Anolis sagrei: one gene and its partners. The protein of the gene in region 3 purifies or fractionates together with the protein of the main gene of each other region. This does not show direct contact. Links are inferred from orthologs where the notes say so. Each region holds a gene or a part of one and is shown on either strand. Other genes may lie near its edges.

Region 1 (7,036 bases), on a different chromosome or scaffold from region 3:
ATGTTTCTAATTAAGAAAAGGAAATCTGTTGATGTTTGCGATAAACCCCATGGAACAGCTATGGAGTTCCAGGAATCACCGGTAATACAGAAGTGTAAAGGAGAAATGTCCAAAATTTGGATGATATGAAACATACATTATATATACAATTTATATTTTATAGCATATGCACATATATATTATAATACATGTGTATTGCAAGAAACTCTTATAAGAGTTTGGTTTAACCCCCAGTTTGCTAGTAAAACCGACGGTGTCGCAAAAGGATGCATCTCAGAATGTGGAAAGTTTTGATTCACACTTATGGCATCACTCTCCTAGTTTTTCTGGCAAGATTTACCCCAAGGAGGTTTGTCATTTCCTTCCTCACCTTAAGTCTGAGAGAGTGGGATTTACCCAAAGGCAACCAGTAGATTCCCAAGGCTGAGCAGGAACCGGAATCCAGTGCTCAGAACCATTGCGCTAGGCTGGCTTTCTCATGCTGCGTCATGCCAGATATTATTTTATTTGTCACTCACCACTCCTCACTACTTGAGGAAGGCCACAGCAGTTAAAACATCTCACACAGAGAGACAGATACACACACACACATATGAAAGAAAATGATATAAAGACATCCAATAATGATTGGATGTCAATATAAAATTATTGGTTTAATATTGGGTAGGCGTTTTATGAGCATTTAGGGGTGTCCCTTATTTCACAAATAACCTTTCAGAAGGATGCAATTGGGCATTTCTTTCTTATCGTGTCAGGAGCGAACCCAACAGTTGTACTGCATTAAAAACAAAACACAAAATTTGTAAACTTGGTATTCTATTAAATGTCCTTTGACCATAATCTGGCCACTTGGAGTGCCTCTGGTGTTGCTGTGAGAAGGTCCTCCATTGTGCCTGTGGCAGGGCTCAGGTTGCATTGCAGCAGGTGGTCAGTGGTTTGCTCTTCTCCACACTCGCATGTCGTGGATTCCACTTTGTGGCCCCATTTCCGAAGGCTGGCTCTGCATCTCGTGAAACAATATCATACGAAAGCTGACTGGCACAACCTGGTGATCACAACCAGACACAGTGAAGACATCTGCCCTTGCGCTGTGCTACTCTGCTGCTGAGTACGCATGCCCAGTGTGGAACACATCTCACCACGCTAGAACAGTGGGTGTGGCTCTTAATGAGACATGCCGCATTATCATGTGGTGTCTGCGCCCCACACGACTGGAGAAATTATACTGTTTAGGTGGTTTTGCAACACCTGACATCTGCCGGGAAGTAGCAGCCAATAGTGAAAGGACCAAGGCAGCTCATTCCTTGTTTGGGTATCAGCCAGCATGTCGACGACTTAAATCTAGACATAGTTTTCTTAGATCTACAGAGACACTCGCTGGAACACCCCAGCAAGCAAAAGTCATAGAATCATAGAATCAAAGAGTTGGAAGAGACCTCATGGGCCATCCAGTCCAACCCCATTATGCCAAGAAGCAGGAATATTGCATTCAAATCACACCTGACAGATGGCCATCCAGCCTCTGCTTAAAAGCTTCCAAAGAAGGAGCCTCCACCACACTCCGGGGCAGAGAGTTCCACTGCTGAACGGCTCTCACAGTCAGGAAGTTCTTCCTCATGTTCAGATGGAATCTCCTCTCTTGTAGTTTGAAGCCCTTGCTCCATTGTGTCCTAGTCTCCATGGAAGCAGAAAACAAGCTTGCTCCCTCCTCCCTGTGGCTTCCTCTCACATATTTATACATGGCTATCATATCTCCTCTCAGCCTTCTCTTCTTCAGGCTAAACATGCCCAGCTCCTTAAGCCGCTCCTCATAGGGCTTGTTCTCCAGACCCTTGATCATTTTAGTCGCCCTCCTCTGGACACATTCCAGCTTGTCAATATCTCTCTTGAATTGTGGTGCCCAGAATTGGACACAATATTCCAGGTGTGGTCTAACCAAAGCAGAATAGAGCATGGGGAGCATTACTTCCCTAGATCTAGACACTATGCTCCTCTTGATGCAGGCCAAAATCCCATTGCCTTTTTTTGCCGCCACATCACACTGTTGGCTCATGTTTAACTTGTTGTCCACGAGGATTCCAAGATCTTTTTCACACGTACTGCTCTCGAGCCAGGCATCACCCATTCTGTATCTTTGCATTTCATTTTTTCTGCCAAAGTGGAGTATCTTGCATTTGTCACTGTTGAACTTCATTTTGTTAGTTTTGTCCCATCTCTCTAATCTGTCAAGATCGTTTTGAATTCTGCTCCTGTCCTCTGGACTATTGGCTATCCCTCCCAAGTCCAAAAGTGGCAGGCCCAAACCCAGCACCTCAACCAATGGCTGATCCCAAATGAGAGACTCCCCCTTCCTGGGCACACTGAGGACTGGGCGACCTGGAAGGCACTGAACAGACTGCGCTCTGGCACCACAAGATGCAGAGCCAACCTTCAGAAATGGGGCCACAAAGTGGAATCCTCGATATGCGAGTGTGGAGAGGAGCAAACCACTGACCACCTGCTGCAATGCACCCTGAGCCCTGCCACATGCACAATGGAGGACCTTCTTGAGGCAACACCAGAGGCACTCCAAGGGGCCAGAGACTGGTCAAAAGACATTAAATCAACTACCAAACTCGCAAATTTTGTATTTTGTCTGTTTGCTTTGTTCTGTTAGAAATGTAATATAATGGACTGGCTGCCCTGACACGAAATAAATAAATCACTACTATTTGCGTTATTGTTCACTATTATATCACTATTATATGCACTATTGTTCACTATTATATCACTATTGTTCTTTGACTAGGTTGTCTCTTATTTTGTATGTATATATATGTATGTATGTATCTCAATCTCCCTATAGAGACACCTGTGAGAGTCTTCTCCTCCTTCTGCCTTTTTGGTCCTCCTCCTCCTCCTCCTTCAGGCCTGCCTTTTTCCCGCCAAATGTGTCCTGGACAGGTCAAGCGGAAATGTCCACTCTGGGTCACTTCCTGTGCGGCCACTCCTTCCGCCGCGCCCGCCTTGCTCTCGTCTCCTCTCCGGGGAAAGACACAAAAGCGACCCTCTCGGTGGCCCTCTCTCCCTCACAACCAGGCCTTCCCCGCTTGGCTTCCCCTCGCGCATGCGCGGATGGAGGAGAGAGAGCCACACAAAGGCGAGGGGAGGGGTTGATACGCATGCGCGAGCGAGGCCCAGCACACTAAAACTCCCGATGTTAAGTACGCATGCGCGAGCGAGGCTCAGAGTACGAAAAAAAGTGCAGGCGATGTCGTGTACGCATGCGCGAGTGAGGCCCAAAACAAAAAATAATCTGGTGGTGTTGAGTACGCATGCGCAAGCGAGTCCCAGCGAACAAAAAAAAGTGCTGGAGATATTGTGTACGCATGCGCGATTGAGACCCAAAACACAATAAAGTCTGGCGATGTTGAGCACGCATGCGCGAATGAGGCTCAGAAAGAAAAAAAAGTATCGATGTTGTGTACGCATGCGCGAGTGAGGCCCATAAAGAAAAAAATGTGCTGATAATGTTGTATACGCATGCGCCAGTGAGGCCCAGAAGAAAAAAAGTATCGATGTTGTGTACGCATGCGTGAGCGAGGCCTAGAAAGGAAAAAAAATGCTCTGCTGATTTTGTGTACGCATGCGCCAGTGAGACCCAGAAAGAAAAAAAGTGTCCATGTTGTGTACGCATGCGTCAGTGAGACCTAGCAAGAAAGAAAAAGTATCGATGTTGTGTACGCATGCGCGAGCGATGCCTAGAAAGAAAAAAAATGCTGTGCTGATGTTGTATACGCATGCGTGAGTGAGGCCCAGAAGGAAAAAAAAGTGTCCATGTTGTGTACGCATGCGCGAGCGAAGCGAAAGCCTTACAAAGAAAAGAGCTTTGGTGGTCTTGTGCAGGCATGCGCAGGAGAGAAAGACTCTCCTCCCTGTCTGCGCATGCGCCCCTGTTGCGTAGGGGAAAGCCGGCGTGGGAGGGGAAGGCGGAGGCGCGTCGCGAGCGCTCGGCGCCTTGAGGGGAGGGAGGGAGCGCGAGGTCGGACTGCGCGTGCGCGCGGGGCGAGAGAGAGAGAGCGAGCGAGAGATTGAGCGAGAGAGAGAGAGAGAGAGGGTGGCGGCGGCGTGGGAGGCAGGCGCGGCGGCGTCTCCTTCCCGCGGGCTCTGCGCATGCGCGGGGCCGGGAGAGAGGGAGGCGAAGGGCCCCGGCTGAGGCGGCGGTGGCGGCGGCGCAGGAGGCCGCGCGGGAGGCCCGGAAGGACCATGGCGGCCCACACCACGGCCACCGCCAACACCAACCCCACCCCCTCGGGCCAGCCAGGCTCAGCGGCAGGAGGAGGCGGAGGAGGGAGCGGAGTAGGCCCCGCTGAGGGCCCGCCCGCCTCAGGCCTCTCCTCGGCCTCCTCAGCCTCCTCGTCGTCGTCCTCCTCCTCGGGCCCTCCCGCCGTGTCGCGGCGCAAGGACGGAGGCCCCGCGGGGAAGTTCTGGGAGAGCTCCGACACCGCCGCCCAGCTCGACGCCGCACGACTCTGGCTTGGGAAGCACTGCAAGAAGGTGAGGCCTTCCTTTGTCCCCCAACTTGGGCCTTTGGACTCCAACTCCCAACATTCCTCACAGCCTCAGGACCCTTCCTTTTCCCCCTCAGACGCTTAAGCGGCTGAGGGGGGAAAGGAAAGGGCCTGAGGCTGCGAGGAATGGTGGGAGTTGGAGTCCAAAGCCCCTGAGGCGTGGCCTAGCATTATTTCTGTACCTTAGTGTCATTAATTTGGTTCCCTTTGTGTCCCTTTGAGGCTGAGAAAGTGTCACTTGGTATGTGTATGTGGGGTAGGCTTCCTTTATTTCTTTGTTTACATCTCTGACTCCTTAATTTGGTTCCCTTTGTGTCCCTCTGAGGCTGAGAGAGTGTCACTTGATATGTGTGTGGGAGGGGAAGGCTTCCTTTATTTGTTTGTTTACATTTATATGCTGGCGAAGGGGACTCAGAGTGGCTTACAAGTCATATTGGACATAAAGCATACTATATTATTTTTAAACATTCATAGAATCATAGACTCAAAGAGTTGGAAGAGACCTCGTGGGCCATCCAGTCCAACCCCATTCTGCCAAAAAAGCAGGAATATTGCATTCAAAGCACCCCTGACAGGTGGCCATCCAGCCTCTGTTTAAAAGCTTCCAAGGAAGGAGCTAGACACTATACATCTATTTATAGTGAGGAATTGTGGGAATTGGAGTCCAAAGCCCCTGAGGCCTGGTCTAGCGTTAATTCTGTGCCTTAGTGTCATTTCTGACTCATTAATTTGGTTCCATTTGTGTCCCTTTGAGGCTGAGAGAGTGTCACTTGGTATGTGTATGTGGGGAAGGCTTCCTTTGTTTGTTTTCGACATTTATATCCTGGCGAAGGGGATTCAGAGTGGTTTACAAGTCATATAGACATAAGACATACTATAGTATTATTATTAAACATACTATATATTCTTTTCTGTCTCCCTCAGGGTGAGGGAGTGTCACTTGTATGTGTGGGGAAAGGCTTCCTTTGTGTCTCTCTGAGGCTGAGAGAGTGTCACTTGATATATGTGTGTGTGAGAGAGAGAGGGGGGAAGGCTTCCTTTCTGTCCCTCTGAAGCTGAGAGAGTGTCACTTATACGTGGGGAAAGGCTTCCTTTGTATCTCTCTGAGGTTGAGAGAGTGTCACTTGTGTGAGTTAGGAAAGCCCCCTTAGTGTCCCTCTGAGGTTGAGAGATTGTCAATTGATGTGTGTGTGCCTTCAGATCCTTTCTCTTCTGTGGCCAGCCTAGAGCAGGGTTTTCTTGAACCAGTTGAATCTTTTGTGTCTCTCTTAGGCTGAGAGAGTGTCAATTCTGTGTGTGTGAGAGAGGAAGGCTCCTTTTGTGTCCCTCTAAGCCTGAGAGAGTGCCACTTCTATGTGTTATGAAGGTTCCCTTGGTGTCCCACTGAGGCTGAGAGAGTGTCACTTGTGTGTGAGGGGGAAGGCACCCTTTGTGTCCCTCTTAAGCTGAGAGAGTGTCACTTGATATGTGTGTGTGGGGAAGGTTGTCTTTGTGTTCCTCTGAGGCCGAGAGACTGTCACTTGATGTGTGTGTGTGTGAGGAGGGCTACTTTTGTGTCCCTCTTAGAATGAGAGAGTGTCACTTGATATGTGTGTGTGTGTGGGGGGGGGGGAGTTTCCATTGTGTCACTCTGAGGCTGAGAGAGTGTCACTTAATATGAGTGTGCCTTCAGGTCATTTCTCTAGCAAGCCTAGAGTAGGGTTTTCTTGAACCAATTGAGTCTTTTGTGTCACTCTTAGGCTGAGAGAGTGTCACTTGATATGTGTGTCAGGAAGGCTCCCATTGTGTCCCTCTGAGGCTGAGAGAGTGTCACTTGATATGTGTGTCAGGAAGGCTCCCTTTTTGTCCCTTTGAGGCTGAGAGAGTGTCACTTGATATATGTGTGTGGCGAAGGTTGCTTTTGTGTCCCTCTGAGGATGAGAGAGTGCCACTTCATGTCACAGGGAGGAGGGAGCAGGCTTCCTTTCTGCTTCCCAGGAGACTAAGATGCAATGGAAGAATGGCTTCAAACTACAAGAAAGGAGATTCCATCTGAACATGAGGAAGAACTTCCTGACTGTGAGATCCGTGCAGCAGTGTGTGGTGGAGGCTCCTTCTTTGGAGGATTTTAAACAGAGGCTGGATGGCCATCTGCCAGGGGTGCTTTGAATGCAATATTCCTGCCTCTTGGCAGAATGGGGTTGGATGGCCCATGAGGTCTCTTCCAACTCTAGGATTCTATGATTCTATGTATGCCTGGGGAAGGCTCCCTTTGTGTCCCTCTTAAGCTGAGAGAGTGTCATTTGATATGTGTGTGTGAGGAAGGATCCCTTTTTGTCCCTCTTAGGCTGAGAGAGTGTCACTTGATATGTGTGTGCCTTCAGGTCATTACTCTTCTGTGGCAAGCCTAGAGCATGGTTTTTTCTTGAACCAATTGATTCTTTTGTGTCCCTCTGAGGCTGAGAGAGTGTCACTTGATATCTGTGTGTGGGGAAGGCTCTCTTTGT
Region 2 (7,065 bases), on a different chromosome or scaffold from region 3:
AAATTCCAAAATACTCCCAAACCCAAAATTGTCCACATGGATGGCCGAGAGAGTGATACCTTTGCATTCTGACGGTTCAATGCACATAAACTTTATTTCATGGGAAAAATATTGAAAATACTGTATACATTTACTTTCAGAGTGGGTGTGTAAAGTATAAAGGTTAAGATTTCCCCTTGACATTAAGTCTAGTCGTGCCTGACTCTGGGGGGATGGTGCTCATCTCCATTACTAAGCCGAAGAGCCAGCATTGTCCACAGACGCCTCATTGGTTATGTGGCCAGCTTGACTGCATGGAGCACCATTCCCTTCATATTGAGGTGGTACCTATTGATCTACTCACATTTGCATGTTTTCAAATTGCTAGGTTGGCAGAAACTGGGGCTAACAACAGGAGCTCATCCTGTCTGCAGATTTGAACTGCCGACCTTCCAGTCAGGAAGTTCAGCAGCTCAACGGTTTAATGTGTTGCACCACCGTGGCCCCCAGAAGTGCAGAAGAAAAAAGAAACGGAAACTATAATGTCACTGCCCTCATTGACTATGCCCTGGCATTCCATGTTTTCAAACTGCTAGGTTGGCAGGAGCTACAGCTAACAACGAAAGCTCACCCTGGATGCGGATTCAAACCGCCAACCTTCTGATCAGCAAGTTCTGCAGCTTAGCGGTTTAACCCGCTGTGCCACTGCAGCCCCTTAAAGTATATATGAAGTACATATGAAACAAAAAAAACATTTCAGGTTCAGATGTGGGTTCAATGGCCAACTGTATGTCAACATTGTAGAACGAATGCAGTTTAACATCACTTTCCCCGCCATGACTCAATACTATGGAATCATGGGAGTTGTAGGATGCCATCACTCTTTGGCGGAGACAGCTGGTTAAACTGTATAGCATTTTTAGGCATGTTAATAGGTTTTAACTGTTGATCTAAGTAGTTGTGATGTTTAATCGTATTTTAGTGTTTAGTGGGTTAAACCACTGAGCTGCTGAACTTGCTGACCAAAAGGTCACAAGTTCAAATCTGGGGAGCAGCATGAGCTACCAATGTTAGCCCCAGCTTCTGTCAACCTAGCAGTTTGAAAACATGCAAATGTGAGCAGATCAGTAGGTACCACTTCGGCAGGAAGATGACGGTGCTCCATGCAGTCATGCAGGCCACATGACCTTGAAGGTGTCTATGGACAACGCTGACTCTTCGGCTTAGAAATGGAGATGGGCACCACCCTCCAGAGTTGGACACAACTGGACTTAATATCAGGGGAAAACCTTTACCTTTACCTGTGTTTTTAGCCGCTTTGAGTCACCTTGGGGAGAGAATCAGCAAGGTATAAATAATAATAATAATAATAATAATATCTGATGTGTGATCCAATGCAAAACCCAGCATTGCTGTGTACTAATCGTGTTGAGTACAAAATAATAATAATAATAATAACTGTATATTGTGTTGTTTTACCAGGCATGGGCAAACTTTGGCCCTCCAGATGTTTTGGACTTCAATTCCCACAATTCCTAACAGCCGGTAGGCTGTTAGGAATTGTGGGAGTTGAAGTCCAAAACATCTGGAGGGCCGAAGTTTGCTCATGCCTGTGTTAGCGCTTTGGGTCTCTTTTCAGGCTTTAAATAAATAACCATAATATATAATAACTATAATATATAATATAATGTGTTATATTGTTTTGTATTTTATTCTCATTATATTTTACTGTATGTATTTATGTTGTATATTTGCTGTACCCTTGGGCTTGGCCTCATGTAAGCCACCCCGAGTCTCCTTGGGGATATGGTGGCGGGGTATAAATAAAGTTTTATTATTATTAGTAGTAGTAGTATTTCATGGCCTGGAATCACTGGGTTGTTGGGAGTTTTCCAGACTGTCTGGCCACATTCCAGAAGCACTCTCTCCTGACGTTTCGCCTGCATCTATGGCAGGCATCCTGAGGATATAAAACCCACTTTCTTAGTTTCGAACAAGCCTCACAACCTCTGAGAATGCTTGCCATAGATGCAGGTGAAACATCAGGAGAGAATGCTTCTGGAACATGGCCAGACAGTTTGGAAAACTCCCAGCAACCAATAATAATAATAATAATAATAATAATGACGACAACAACAGCTCTCGTGATTCTATAGAAGGCATAATAAGCATAATAACAACAACAATAATGTCTGATATGTGATCAAATAGACAAGCCAACATAGTGATCTTGTTTTCTGTGTACTAATATTATTGTGTATCAGATAATAATAATAATGATAACTGTATATTGTATTGTTTTACCAGGCATGGGCAAACTTGGGCCCTCCAGGTGTTTTGGACTCCGGTAGGCTGTTAGGAATTCTGGGAGTTGGGAGTCCAAAACACCCGGAGAGCCCAAGTTTGCCCATGCCTGTTCTATAGCATTCTAATAATAGTAATAATAATAATGGGATCTTGTTTGCTGTGTACTAATCTTGTTGTGTATCAGATAATAATAGTAATAATAATAATAACAACAACAACAACTGCATACTGTATTGTTTTACCAGGCATGGGCAAACTTGGGCTCTCCAGGTGTTTTGGACTCCAACTCCCGGCTGTTAGGAATTCTGGGAGTTGGAGTCCAAAACACCTGGAGGGCCCAAGTTTGCACATGCCTGTTCTATAGCATAATAATAATAATAATATCAAGTGATGTCAAACTGCATTCCTTCTACAGTGCAGATCAGGCATGCCATAGTTAAGTTTGGTAGTACTTAGGAAACTCCAAATCCCACCCTCCCTCAGCAAACCCACCTCCTCCCTCCCGCAACGTGTTTCCTTCCTGTGTTCCCGTTCCCAGCCCTCAAACTGACGGGAAAGTCCCTCCAAGCTTTCCTGGAAGCCATGCCCCTCGTTGCAGAGGAGCAGCAATCTCAGAGGTTTGCACTCTGCACATGCTTTGCCTCCTCTCCAGCCTACCTTTCCAATCCCCTCCGCCGGGACCGAACTTCCCTTCCGCTGGCTCTCCTTCCCCAGCGCCGCCTGGCTCACTCTCCAAGCCCTGCCCCAGCTGCTGGCTCCCGGGGAGTCCCGCCCCCTCGGCGGCGACACTGATCGAAGCCGGCCAATCGCCGCCGCGCTCTGAGGGTTCTTCGGCAGGGGGCGCTCTCCGGCGGCCAATCAGCGCGCGCCTCCGCTTTCACTCTTCACCGGGCTGTTCCGGGCTCGGCTTCCTCCTCCCGCTGCTCTTCTGGAAAGCCAGCTGAGTTCCGGGCAGTGTGTGACGTCGGCAGCGCTGCTGTTGTCTTCGCCCCGGAGGGCGGGGGCGTGTGTGTCTGACTGTTTGGAATCCTTAGGCTGCTCCTGATTGGCTGAGAGGAACACATAGGGATGAGTGGGCTAGGCAGTGGGAGAAGGGCTTTCATGTGCACCTAGGTAGCCATCCCATCCCCTTGTGGAGCCTAATAATAATAATAATAATAATAATAATAATAATACAATACTATATAATCTATATAAACTCAAAAACCACTGGGGGAATTGACACCAAATTTGGACACAAGACACCTAACAACCCAATGTATGTCCTCCACTCAAAAAAAATGATTTTGTCATTTGAGAGTTGTAGTTGCTGGGATTTATAGTTTACCTGCAATCAAAGAGCATTCTGAACTCCACCAATGATGGAATTGGGCCAAACTTAGCACACAGGGCTCCCATGACCAACAGAAAAAACTGGAAGGGTTTGGTGGACATTGACCTTGAGTTTGGGAGTTGTAGTTCACCTACATCCAGAGAGCACTGTGGACTCAAACAATGATGGATCTGGACCAAACTTGGCACGAATTCTCGATATGCCCAAATATGAACACAGATGGAGTTCGGGGGAAATAGACCTTGACATTTGGGATTTGTAGTTACTGGAATTTATAGTTGAACCAAACATGGCATACAGGACTTCCATGACCAACAGAACACACTGGAAGGGTTTGGTGGGCATTGACCTTGATGGAGTTTAAGGGAAATAGACCTTGACATTTGGGAGTTGTAGTTGCTGGGATTTATAGTTCACCTGCAATCAAAGAGCATTCTGAACTCCACCAATGGTGGAATTGAACCAAACATGGCATACAGGACTTCCATGACTTCCATGACCAACAGAACACACTGGAAGAGTTTGGTGGGTATTATTATTATTATTGTTATTATTATTATTACTACTATTATTTTACTGACACAAAAATACAGTATGTCACAGCAAATGATGTATTTCCGAATGATGCACACAGATCCAAGTAAGGTGGCCTCTGGTGTTGCCGCAAGGAGGTCCTCCATTGTGCATATGGCAGGGCTCAGGGTGCATTGCAGCAGGTGGTCTGTGGTTTGCTCTTGTCCACACTCGCATGTCATGGATTCCACTTTGTAGCCCCATTTCTTAAGATTGCCAGAGCGCAGTCTGTTCAGCACCTTCCAAGTTGCCCAGTCTTCTGTGTGTCCAGGGGGGAGTCTCTAATTTGGTATCAGCCAGTGGTTAAGGTTCTGGGTTTGAGCCTGTGACTTTTGGACTTTCACTTGCTGAGGTGTTCCAGCGAATGTCTCTGTAGATCTTAGAATATTTCTTGATTTAAGTCATTGACGTCCTGGCTATACCCAAAGAAGGGATGAGCTGGAGATGTCACTGCCTTGGTCCTTTCACTATTGGCTGCTACTTCCCGGCGGATATCAGGTGGTGCAATACCAGCTAAGCAGTGTAATTTCTCCAGTGGTGTAGGGCGCAGACACTCCGTGATAATGCGGCATGTCTCATTAAGAGTCACATCTACTGTTTTAGTGTGGTGAGAAGTGTTCCACACTGGGCATGCGTACTCAGCAGCAGAGTAGCATAGCACAAAAGCAGATGTCTTCACTGTGTCTGGTTGTGATCCCCAGGTTGTGCCAGTCAGCTTTCGTATGATATTGTTTCTAGCGCCCACTTTTGGTTGATATTCAGGCAGTGCTTCTTGTAGGTCAGAGCACGGTCCAGGGTGACTCCCAGGTATTTGGATGTGCTGCAGTGCTCCAGTGGGATTCCTTCCCAGGTAATCCTCAAGCCCCCCCCCCCCCCGGGCCGGCTACATGCCTGTTCTGGGCCTTTGGCCCTTGCTGAATAGGGTTTTCTCAGAATTGTCTCCTAACTTAATCTTCCAAGATCTACCCAAATTCTCTGTACTGTGACCCAAGACAGAGAGAATACAAGAGAAAGGAGGAAGTTGTCACTTTAGTCTCCTCAGGGCAGAGGTGAGTGAGAGATGGCTTGCAAGATTAGGTGGTAGTTTCTTGCTCTCCTTGCTCTGAAAGACTTCCCATTTTATTTCCTTCTCAGCTGGAGGGAACTGAGTTTGCTGCTTGGCCCAATCCCTGTTGCCATGTCACCCAGAAGAAATGTCACTGCATAAAAGAGAAGTTGCCCTTGGCACAAAGAACTGCCTTTGCCATTTCACTGCCCCTCCAATGGCAAGGATAGGATGGATCACAGAGCTGAAATCAAGATGTCCCACAGCAGCAATTCCCAAACTTTTTTTTGGTCATGGAACCATTCAGAAAATGTTTTCCCCCACAGAACCCTGATTTTCCTGCAGAACCATAACTCTGTGCCTAAGCACTGTGAACCCACAAAGTGCTTCTTTGTTTCATCTACTCCTGTTATCTGGTTGTTTTGTATATTGTAGGTTTGAAAACTAAGAGATCCAAATTTCACTTTTACAGCAGAGGTATATTGAATTGAAATAAGATCTTCGTATTCTGGCAAAGATTTTTAAATATATTTTTTAAAGATTTGAAATATTTTTGGATATGGCTCCGGCCCAGCTTACTTATCCAAACGTATCTCTCTCTACGTTCCGCCTTGTAGTTTAAGATCGTCAGGGGAGGCCCTGCTCTCGGTCTTACCAGCTTTGCAAACGCATTTGGTAGGGACGAGGGACAGGGCCTTCTCGGTGATGACCCCCTGCCTGTGGAATTCGTTCCCCAGTGAGATCAGGTCGGCTTCATCCCTCCTTTCCTTTAGGAAGAAATTAAAATCATGGTTTTGGAACCAGGCTTTTGGCCAGCAGGCGTGACAGCACCTTGGATGTCGAACTGGACTACATGGTTGTGATAATGATATAAATGGCTATATGATTATGATAATAATGTTTTAACTGTTTTAAATTATATTGTTTTATTTATTGTTTATATTGCTGTTATAGTTGTCATATTGTTGCAGTATCAAACTGTTGCCAGTGTAAGCTGCTCTGGGTAGAAATGTAAATAATAATAATAATAATAATAATAATGCTTTGTTGGAACCCTAAGACTCCATGGAACATAGTTTGGGAACTGCTGCCCTAAAGTATTCCAATTTTAAGGGGTCCCATTGTAGCAAAGGGCCCCTTGTGGCGCAACAGGTTAAACCACTGAGCTGCTGAACTTGCTGACTGAAAGGTTGGTAGTTCGGATCGGGGGAGTGAGGTGAGTTCCCGCTTTGAGGTCCAGCTTCTGCCAACCTTGGAGGTCGAAAACATGCAATTGTGAGTAGATCAATAGATACCATATAGTCATGCTGGCCACATGACCTTGGAGGTGTCTACAGACAACACCAGCTCTTTGGCTTAGAAATGGAGATGAGCATCACCCCCCAGAGTCGGATATGACTAGACTTAATGTCAGGGGAAGCCTTTACCTTTACCTTGTAGCGTTACCCAAACTTGTAGCTTAGGGTTGTTTGATATTAATTTAATATCTGTAAGTCATTTAAGTTGTGAGTAAACCCAAGGCAAGCAGGTCAAAGTATCTGTCCTATACAGATTCTGGGAACTGCCTTATGTCAACTCAGCAATAGTATTTCTATCCAGGTATGGTGGCTCTCCAAGGTTTCATGCCAAGGGCTTTTCCAAACTGATGTGCACATGGTTAAGACAGAATGTGTGACCTCAACCACAATATTAACTACAGCCCTTCCCATTTTGCTGGCTTAGTCTCTCACAACATCCCAACCCCATTAAGCAGAGAAAGAGAATGAATGGGATTTCCAGTTCATTTGCTCTACCTTTCTCTGAGTAATGCAGGAAGGCCACGTCCTCC
Region 3 (7,452 bases):
GACCACAAAAACTATGCAGTTCAAACTCCTTGCCATAAACCAAAGCACTCCTGATAGATGGCCATCCAAACCCTCCAGAGATGGAAACTCCACTGTCTTTACTTGCCTCAAGCTGTGAGGAGAGGCAGATAGCAAATAAAAGTTATTATTGCTATTGTTGTTATTATTATTATTATTAGTTCTACAGTGTGTAGATCAGGTATGGGCCAACTTGGGCCCTCCAGGTGTTTTGGACTTCAAGCCCCACAATTCCTAACAGCCTCTGGTCCTTTCCTTTTCCCCCTCAGCCGCTTAAGCAGCTGAGGGGGAAAAGGAAGGGGCCTGAGGCTGTTAGGAATTGTGGGAGGTGAAGTCCAAAACACCTGGCAGGCTCAAGTTGGCCTGATACATGCTCAACTCCCTAAGGTGCTAATCTCCTCTTTGGCAGACCTTGGGAAACTGCAGCTCCCAGGTTCTAGCAGCATCGAGCCATGGCAGTCAAAAGTGGTCTCCAACTGAACTGAACCACTGGGTTGTTGTGAGTTTTCCGGACTGAACGGTCATGTTCCAGAGGTCTCACCACCTCTGAGGATGCCTGCCATAGATGCAGGCGAAATGTCAGGAGAGAATGCTTCTGGAACATGGCCATACAGCCTGGGAAAGCAACCCAGCAACCCAGGGCCCTTCCACACAGCCTTATCTCCCATAATATCAAGGCAGAATAACCCACAATATCTGCTTTGAACTGGGTTATTTGAGTCCACACTTCCATATATCCAGTTCAAAGCAGATAGCGTGGGATCTTATTCAGCTGTGTGGAAGGGGCCCCAGTGATTCTGGCCACGAAAGCCTTTGACAACACATTGAACTGAATCAATTCCACAATGTACAAACTTCTCTTGGTGATAGTATGATAGCTGGGTCCGGAAGCTCTGAGCATTGTGCACATTCCGCAATGGCGGATGCGGATAAGGGAAGGGGAGAGCAGAACACTGACGCTGGGAATATACTTAGTAGTTGCATTTGGTGGAAGGACAGAAAGGAGGGGAGAGTTAGGATAAGGTTTCGGGTTAGGGTTTGGGGTAGGGTTAGGATTAGGGGTTAGGAGCTAGGCTTAGGGTAAGGTTTAGGGTTTGGGTTAGGATTAGGGTTTGGGCTAGGATTAGGGGTAAGGGTAAGGTTTTGCATAAGGGTTAGGGTTTTACCATTAAAGAACTCTTACATTCCTTCTATAATATCTGTGTTTGTTCTGCGTTGCGCAAACAGTGCTCCCAAAGGAGCAGAAACAGCGTAAGGCTCAGAGCTTCGGACCCAGCTATCATACTATCACCTTCTCTCTGCCATGCGCTTTGGACTTCAGCTCCCAGGACTAATGTGCGGGGAATTTGGGCGCTGAAGTCCAACATGCTGGGCCGGGAAGAGTTTGAGAAAGTAGTCTAAAGGAGGCCTCCTTGGAGAAGAAGGGAAGGCAGGAAGAAAGGCAACACAACAAATCCACAAACCCCAAACTTTTCCATAGAATCACAGAGTTGGAAGAGCCCTCATGGGCCACCCAGTCCAACCCCCTGCCAAGAAGCAGGAAAATGGCATTCAAAGCACCCCCGACAGATGGCCCTCCAGCCTCTGTTTCTGCATTCCACTCTGGAGGAGGAAGAGCCCTTTTGGCTTCTCTTTTTGGCATCCTTTGCCCCCCCCCCTCCTCTCCCCAATCCCTTTCCCAGCAGGGAGTCCAAAGGGAGGCCGAGTCTCCGCGGGCTAGCAGTGCCCGGCGTTGGCCAAGAGGGGCTCGGGGAGCTGCTTGAACAAGTTCCGGAGGGTGCCGAGCTCCCGGGAGAGCTGCTCGACCTTCTTCTGGAGCCGCTCGTTCTCGGCGGTGAGCTCGAGCACCTTGTGCTGCGTCTCCAGGTTGCGCATCTTGGCCTTGTCGCGGCTCTTGCGGACGGCGATGTTGTTGCGCTCGCGCCGGATCTTGTACTCCTCGCTGTGCTTGTCCAGGGACTTCTTGGACTTGCTCTTCCCGCCGCCGCCGTTGCTCCCTCCTCCCGAGGCCGCGTAGTGGTTGCCTCCGGACTTGGAGGAATCCGAAGGGTTGGGGGTCCCCGGCGGGCTGGAGGAAGAGGCGGTGGAAAGGTTCCCGCTGCTCCCGCTGGGCACCGACTGGTAGCCCAAGTAGGAGCGGACGGCGCTGCCGTAAGGCGAGGAGAGGCCCCCGAGGGCCGCCGCGCCTCCCCCGCCGGCGTCCTCCTTGCGCGGGCCGGCTTTGCACGAGTCCAAGTGCTCGAAGACGGGCTCCACTTTGGTCTCCACCATGTGAGGCGAGAAGCAGCCCAAGAGAGAGGCCTTCTGGCCCTGGTGGAGGTGCGGGTGGTGGCTATGCTTGGCCAGGCTGATGTAGGTGTAGTCGGGGTGCTGCTGCTGCTGCTGCTGGTGCTGCTGCTTCTTCCCGGCTTTGTAGTCCTGCTCGGAGAAAAGGTCGGAGAGGAAGTCCGGGTTGCTGCTGCTGCTGCTGTTGTGGTTGTTGCCGGAGGGAAGCGGCTCGAAGTTGCCCCCTGCCGTGGCCGCGGGTGGAGGAGGCGCGTGCTGGTGCGGGTGCTGCGAGGCCAGCGGGTCCAGGTAAGGGCTGAAGTCGATGGCCCGCTCGTGCTCGCCCAGGCTCAGCTCGGACATGGGCCGCGGGGCCCCCACGGGCCCTCCCCGCGCGTGCAGCTTGCTCACGGCCGCCGGCAGACAGTCCGTCTCGTAGTAGAGGTTGGCCACTTCCATGGATTTAAAGGCCGAGGGCGGGAGAGGGAGGCATGCCTGGTCCCAGGCCACCAGGCGTTTCATGAAAGCTCCCAAAGCCCCGAGTCCACGCAGGGAGGGAGCGAGGGAGGGAAGGGGAGCCGCCTCTCTCTAAACCCTCTCTTTCGTCCTTCCCTCTCCCTTGCTCTTTCCTTTCCTCCCAAGGTTTCACGCTGCCTCCTTCCCTTTCTCTTCCTCCTCTTCCTTCTCCTCTTTGCTCTCCTCCTCTCTGGACTTTGTTGGGAAAGTGCCTTGGCGCGCGGGTCTTTATAGGGGCGGCGCGTCCCATGGCAACCGCCACACGTCACGGGCCCGCACGCGCCGCCCGCCTCCCTCCTGCTTTCCTCAAGCCTTCCCTCCTTCCTTTCCTTGCAGAAGGAGGGACGCCCAAGGAGCCCGGCGCGCCTCTACTGCGCCTGCGCAGAGGGCTGGCCCAAGGGGGAGGCTCCCCAGCTCTTGGCGACGCCTCCCGTCCCGGGACACCGCCTCCGAGGTCTCTGAACCCGCACGGGCTCAACTCTCCGCGGATTGCCACTTATAGGATCGTATAATAGTGTCCATTATCTACAAATGCAAAAAATCAAGACTCAAGGTTGGGAATGTCTGTATATGTGTATCACATTCACTTATTCCAAAAATCAAGGTGTGTGTGTGTGTATATATATATATATATCTATATATATCTATATATATCCATTCTGTATAGGATAGTATAATAGTGTCCATTATCTACAAATGCAAAAAATCAAGACTCAAGGTTTGGTATGTGTGTGTGTGTATCACATTCACTTATTCCAAAAATCAAGGGGTGTGTGTGTGTATGTGCCAGCATGTGTGTGTGTATACACACATACAAATTCCCACCTTGATTTTTGGAATAATTGAATATGCGTTATATGTATACACACCCACTCAGTTTGGGAATGTCTGTATATGTGTATCACATTCACTTATTCCAAAAATCAAGGTGTGTGTGTGTGTGCCAGCATGTGTGTGTGTATGTGTGTGTGTGTATCCATTCTGTATAGGATAGTATAATAGTGTCTATTATCTACAAATGCAAAAAATCAAGACTCAATGTTTGGTATGTGTGTGTATATCACATTCACTTATTCCAAAAATCAAGGTGTGTATGTGTGTGTGCCAGCATGTGTGTGTGTGTGTGTGTGTGTATACACGGATACAAATTCCCACCTTGATTTTTGGAATAATTGAATATGCGTTATTCAACACACCCACTCCTTGATTTTTTGGACTAATTGAATATGCACGTTTATATATAGATAGGTAGATAGATAGGTAAAGGTGAAGGTTTTCTCCTGACCTTAAGTCCAGTCGTGTCTGACTCTGGGGGGTGGTGCTCATCTCCATTTCTAAGCTGAAGAGCCAGCATTGTCCATAGACACCTCCAAGGTCATATGGCCGGCATGACTGCATGGAGCGGTACCTATTGATCTACTCATATGTGCATGTTTTCAAACTGCTAGGTTGGCAGAAGCTGGGATTAACAGCAGGAGCTCACCACACTCCCCGGATTCAAACCTGCGACCACTGTCATTACTTGCAACTCTCCTCAGCTTGCCACTATTCCATTCTGTATAGGATAGTATAATAGTGTCCATTATCTACAAATGCAAAAAATCAAGACTCAAGGTTGGGTATGTGTGTGTGTATCACATTCACTTCTTCCAAAAATCATGCTGTGTGTGTATGTACACGCATACAAGTTCCCACCTTGAGTTTTTGGAATAATTGAATATGCATGTTTTATATGTATGTATGTATGTATGTATGTACATATCAGATAGATAGATAGATAGATAGATAGATAGATAGATAGATAGATAGAGTCGTATCTGACTCTGGGGGGTGGTGCTCATTTCCATTTCTAAGCCAAAGAACTGGCGTTGTCTGTAGATACCTCTACAGTCATGTGGCCGGCATGACCGCATGGAGTGGTACCTATTGCTCTACTCACACTTCCAAGTTTTCGAACTGTTAGGTTGGCAGAAGATGGGGCTAACAGTGGGAGCTCACCCCGCTCCCCAGATTCAAACCTGCAACCTTTCATGTTTATACATATTCAAATATTCCAAAAATCAAAGTGGGAATGTGTGTGTGTGTGTGTGTGTACATATATTTCAATTCAATTATTCCAAAAATCAAGGTGGAAATATGGGTGTATGATTCCAAAATTCAAGGTTGCAATGTTTAATTTTTTGTGTTCGATTTTAGCCTGTTCTTGTAAGCCGCTCCGAGCCCCAGGGGAGTGGCGGCATATAAGTTCAAATAATAAATAAATAAATATATTATTTTATTCCAACCTTTGTCTTTGCATTTGTCTATCATTTAGACATTATTTTGCTACCTTATCTGCCCCGCCCCCAAATATCCACAGGTTCTGCATCCATAGATCTGACCAAAAATGTATATCCAAGCTTGGTTTTTGCATTTTAATGGACACCAATATCATTGCATAGGGTGGGCCACATCATGTAATGCATTTTTCATATGTGAATGATAGGGGTCCCCTGATGGTGCAGCAGGTTAAACCGCTGAGCTGCTGAACTTGCTGACTGAAAGGTTGGTGGTTTGAATCTGAGGAGCAGGGTGAGCTCCTGCTTCTGCCAACCTAGCAGTTAAAAAAAACATGCAAATGTGAATATATCAATAGGTACTTCTTCTGCGGGAAGGTAACGGCGCTCCATGCAATCATGCCGACCAAAGACAACGCCAGCTCTTTGGCTTAGAAATGGAAATGGAGCACCATCCCCCAGAGTCGGACATGACTAGACTTAATGTCAGGGGAAACCTTTGCCTTTTCTATGGTGTTATTAAATATGTAACCCTCTTTATGACTTTTGGCTACCCTGTTTATAATGTGAGTTGTATATAATAGGAACCAAATCCCAGTAGATACCGAGGGCCACTGAAATAAAAACAAGATGTGGTTTGATGGCAGAGCGTGGGGGGAGGTCATTTCCTCAAGCATAAGATCCAAGGAGGAAAACGTTGCAACTTCTCTGCCTGAGAGTCTGTTTTCTTTGATGTGGGAGAGATCTTTGCAAGTGACTTTGGACAGACAGATCCATTTGGAGCACAGATTGGAAAAGGCACCATCAATTTGGCATCGTTCTACTTTTTAAGAAAGAAAGGATAAAATAAGAATTGTCTTTAGTATTGTTCATGTGGCAGAGTTGTCCTACCAAGCTCAATGGGAATTTATTTATGTGTCCTAATAGGAAGTGATGGGCAATGGAATATGCTGCCTTCTCAGAGAGTGGTGGAGTTTCATTCTCTGCAGGTTTTTAAGCAGAGGCTGAATGGCGATCTGTCAGGGGTGCTTTCATTATATGTTCCTTCGTGACAGAATGGGTTGGACTGGATGGCCTTTGTGGCCTCTTTCAACTCTATGACTTCATGAAATACACCTAAGACCACTGTGCCAGTGGGTCGCAATATGTTGAGGCCTCCGCAAAGTTACTTTCTAGAGAAGGTCTAGTGGTAGCTGTAGCTCAAAGAGGAACTTGGCCAATCTCTGGTGAAGAGGAAGTCCCATTGGAAACTGGCACACCCAGCATTCTATTCCTGGAGAGTGGAGATGTCAGGAATTTGGAAGAAGGGGAGAAATGCAATACCTGGCATGCACTCTCTGCCCTTCTTGCTAGATACTGTTCTGAGTGGGAGCCGTGGTTGCGCAATGGGTTAAACCCTTGTGCCAACTGACTTGAAGATCTGAAGGTTGGCAGTTCGAATCTGCAAGTTGGAGTGAGCTCCTGTCTGTCAGCCCCAGCTTCACATGCAGGGACAAGAGAAAAGCCTCCCATAGGATGGTGACACAGCCGGGCCTTCCCAGGGCAACATCCTTGCAGACGGCCAGTTCTCTTACACCAGAAGCGACTTGCAGTATATTCTCAATTCACTTCTGACACAATTAAAAAAAACTGTTCTGAGTCCACAAGTAAATGGATCCAGTTCACCAAATTTGTCGTAGTTTCCTTTATGTGTTTCAGGCCGCAGTTCAAAACATGCTTGCTTGCAGTCTTCCACCAACCTTATTGCTATTGTTTTGTACCTTCAAATAATTTTCGACTTCTACTGTTTTTTCTTGGAAAGACTTGTCCAGAGAGGGTTTTCCTTTTCCTTCCTCCAAGATTGAGAGAGTGTGAGTTGCCCAAGAACCTTACTGAGTTTCTAGGTAAAGCAAAGGTTCAAACCCTAGTCTTAAGCACAACACCCCAAACTACTACATCAGCTCCCATTACGCCAGATAAACATAGTCATGGCAAATGGGAACGATGGAGTTGTTAGTCCAACAGGACACCAAACTGGGAAGGAACTAAGATCCATCAAATGTAATTGAACTCATTTTGGAATAAGCGTGTAGAGTGTGCTTTCAAGAAGGATGAATTGAAACGCTCCAATAATGAGAGGTCTAGTAACAAACAGGGAAGGGTCCAAGAGTCAAAATTAAAATATTTGGTTTTTAACTGACCAGGGAAAACAGAAGCCCTTTCCACTTCAGAACTCTTCATTTATTTATGGTTTCTTATTCAGTTGTAGATACCCACCATAAAGGAAAAGGAAGATGATTTGGGTAAAGAAGCCATATTAGCACCTGAATTCAAAACAAAATATAATAAAATATTTTTCTTAAAAGTGAGACTTTGGAATTGATTAGAAATTATCGGC

The links.
Region 1: the proteins of CEBPB (region 3) and SMARCC1 purify together in Homo sapiens (affinity purification with western blotting; 3 studies listed by BioGRID, with this or other methods). This does not show direct contact. The link is inferred for Anolis sagrei from reciprocal best matches to the Homo sapiens genes CEBPB and SMARCC1.
Region 2: the proteins of CEBPB (region 3) and STAT3 purify together in Homo sapiens (affinity purification with western blotting; 3 studies listed by BioGRID, with this or other methods). This does not show direct contact. The link is inferred for Anolis sagrei from reciprocal best matches to the Homo sapiens genes CEBPB and STAT3.

The regions. Positions count from the first base shown.
Region 1 is NC_090026.1:130,812,399-130,819,434, forward strand, and holds the start of SMARCC1 (SWI/SNF complex subunit SMARCC1), read left to right. Parts: upstream 1-3,980; 5' UTR 3,981-4,152; coding exon 4,153-4,536; intron 4,537-7,036. UniProt on the Homo sapiens protein: Involved in transcriptional activation and repression of select genes by chromatin remodeling (alteration of DNA-nucleosome topology).
Region 2 is NC_090026.1:36,809,196-36,816,260, forward strand, and holds the start of STAT3 (signal transducer and activator of transcription 3), read right to left. Parts: upstream 3,057-7,065; 5' UTR 2,944-3,056; intron 1-2,943. UniProt on the Homo sapiens protein: Signal transducer and transcription activator that mediates cellular responses to interleukins, KITLG/SCF, LEP and other growth factors. Once activated, recruits coactivators, such as NCOA1 or MED1, to the promoter region of the target gene.
Region 3 is NC_090024.1:222,094,117-222,101,568, reverse strand, and holds the start of CEBPB (CCAAT/enhancer-binding protein beta), read right to left. Parts: upstream 3,054-7,452; 5' UTR 2,806-3,053; coding exon 1,735-2,805; 3' UTR 1-1,734. UniProt on the Homo sapiens protein: Important transcription factor regulating the expression of genes involved in immune and inflammatory responses. Also plays a significant role in adipogenesis, as well as in the gluconeogenic pathway, liver regeneration, and hematopoiesis.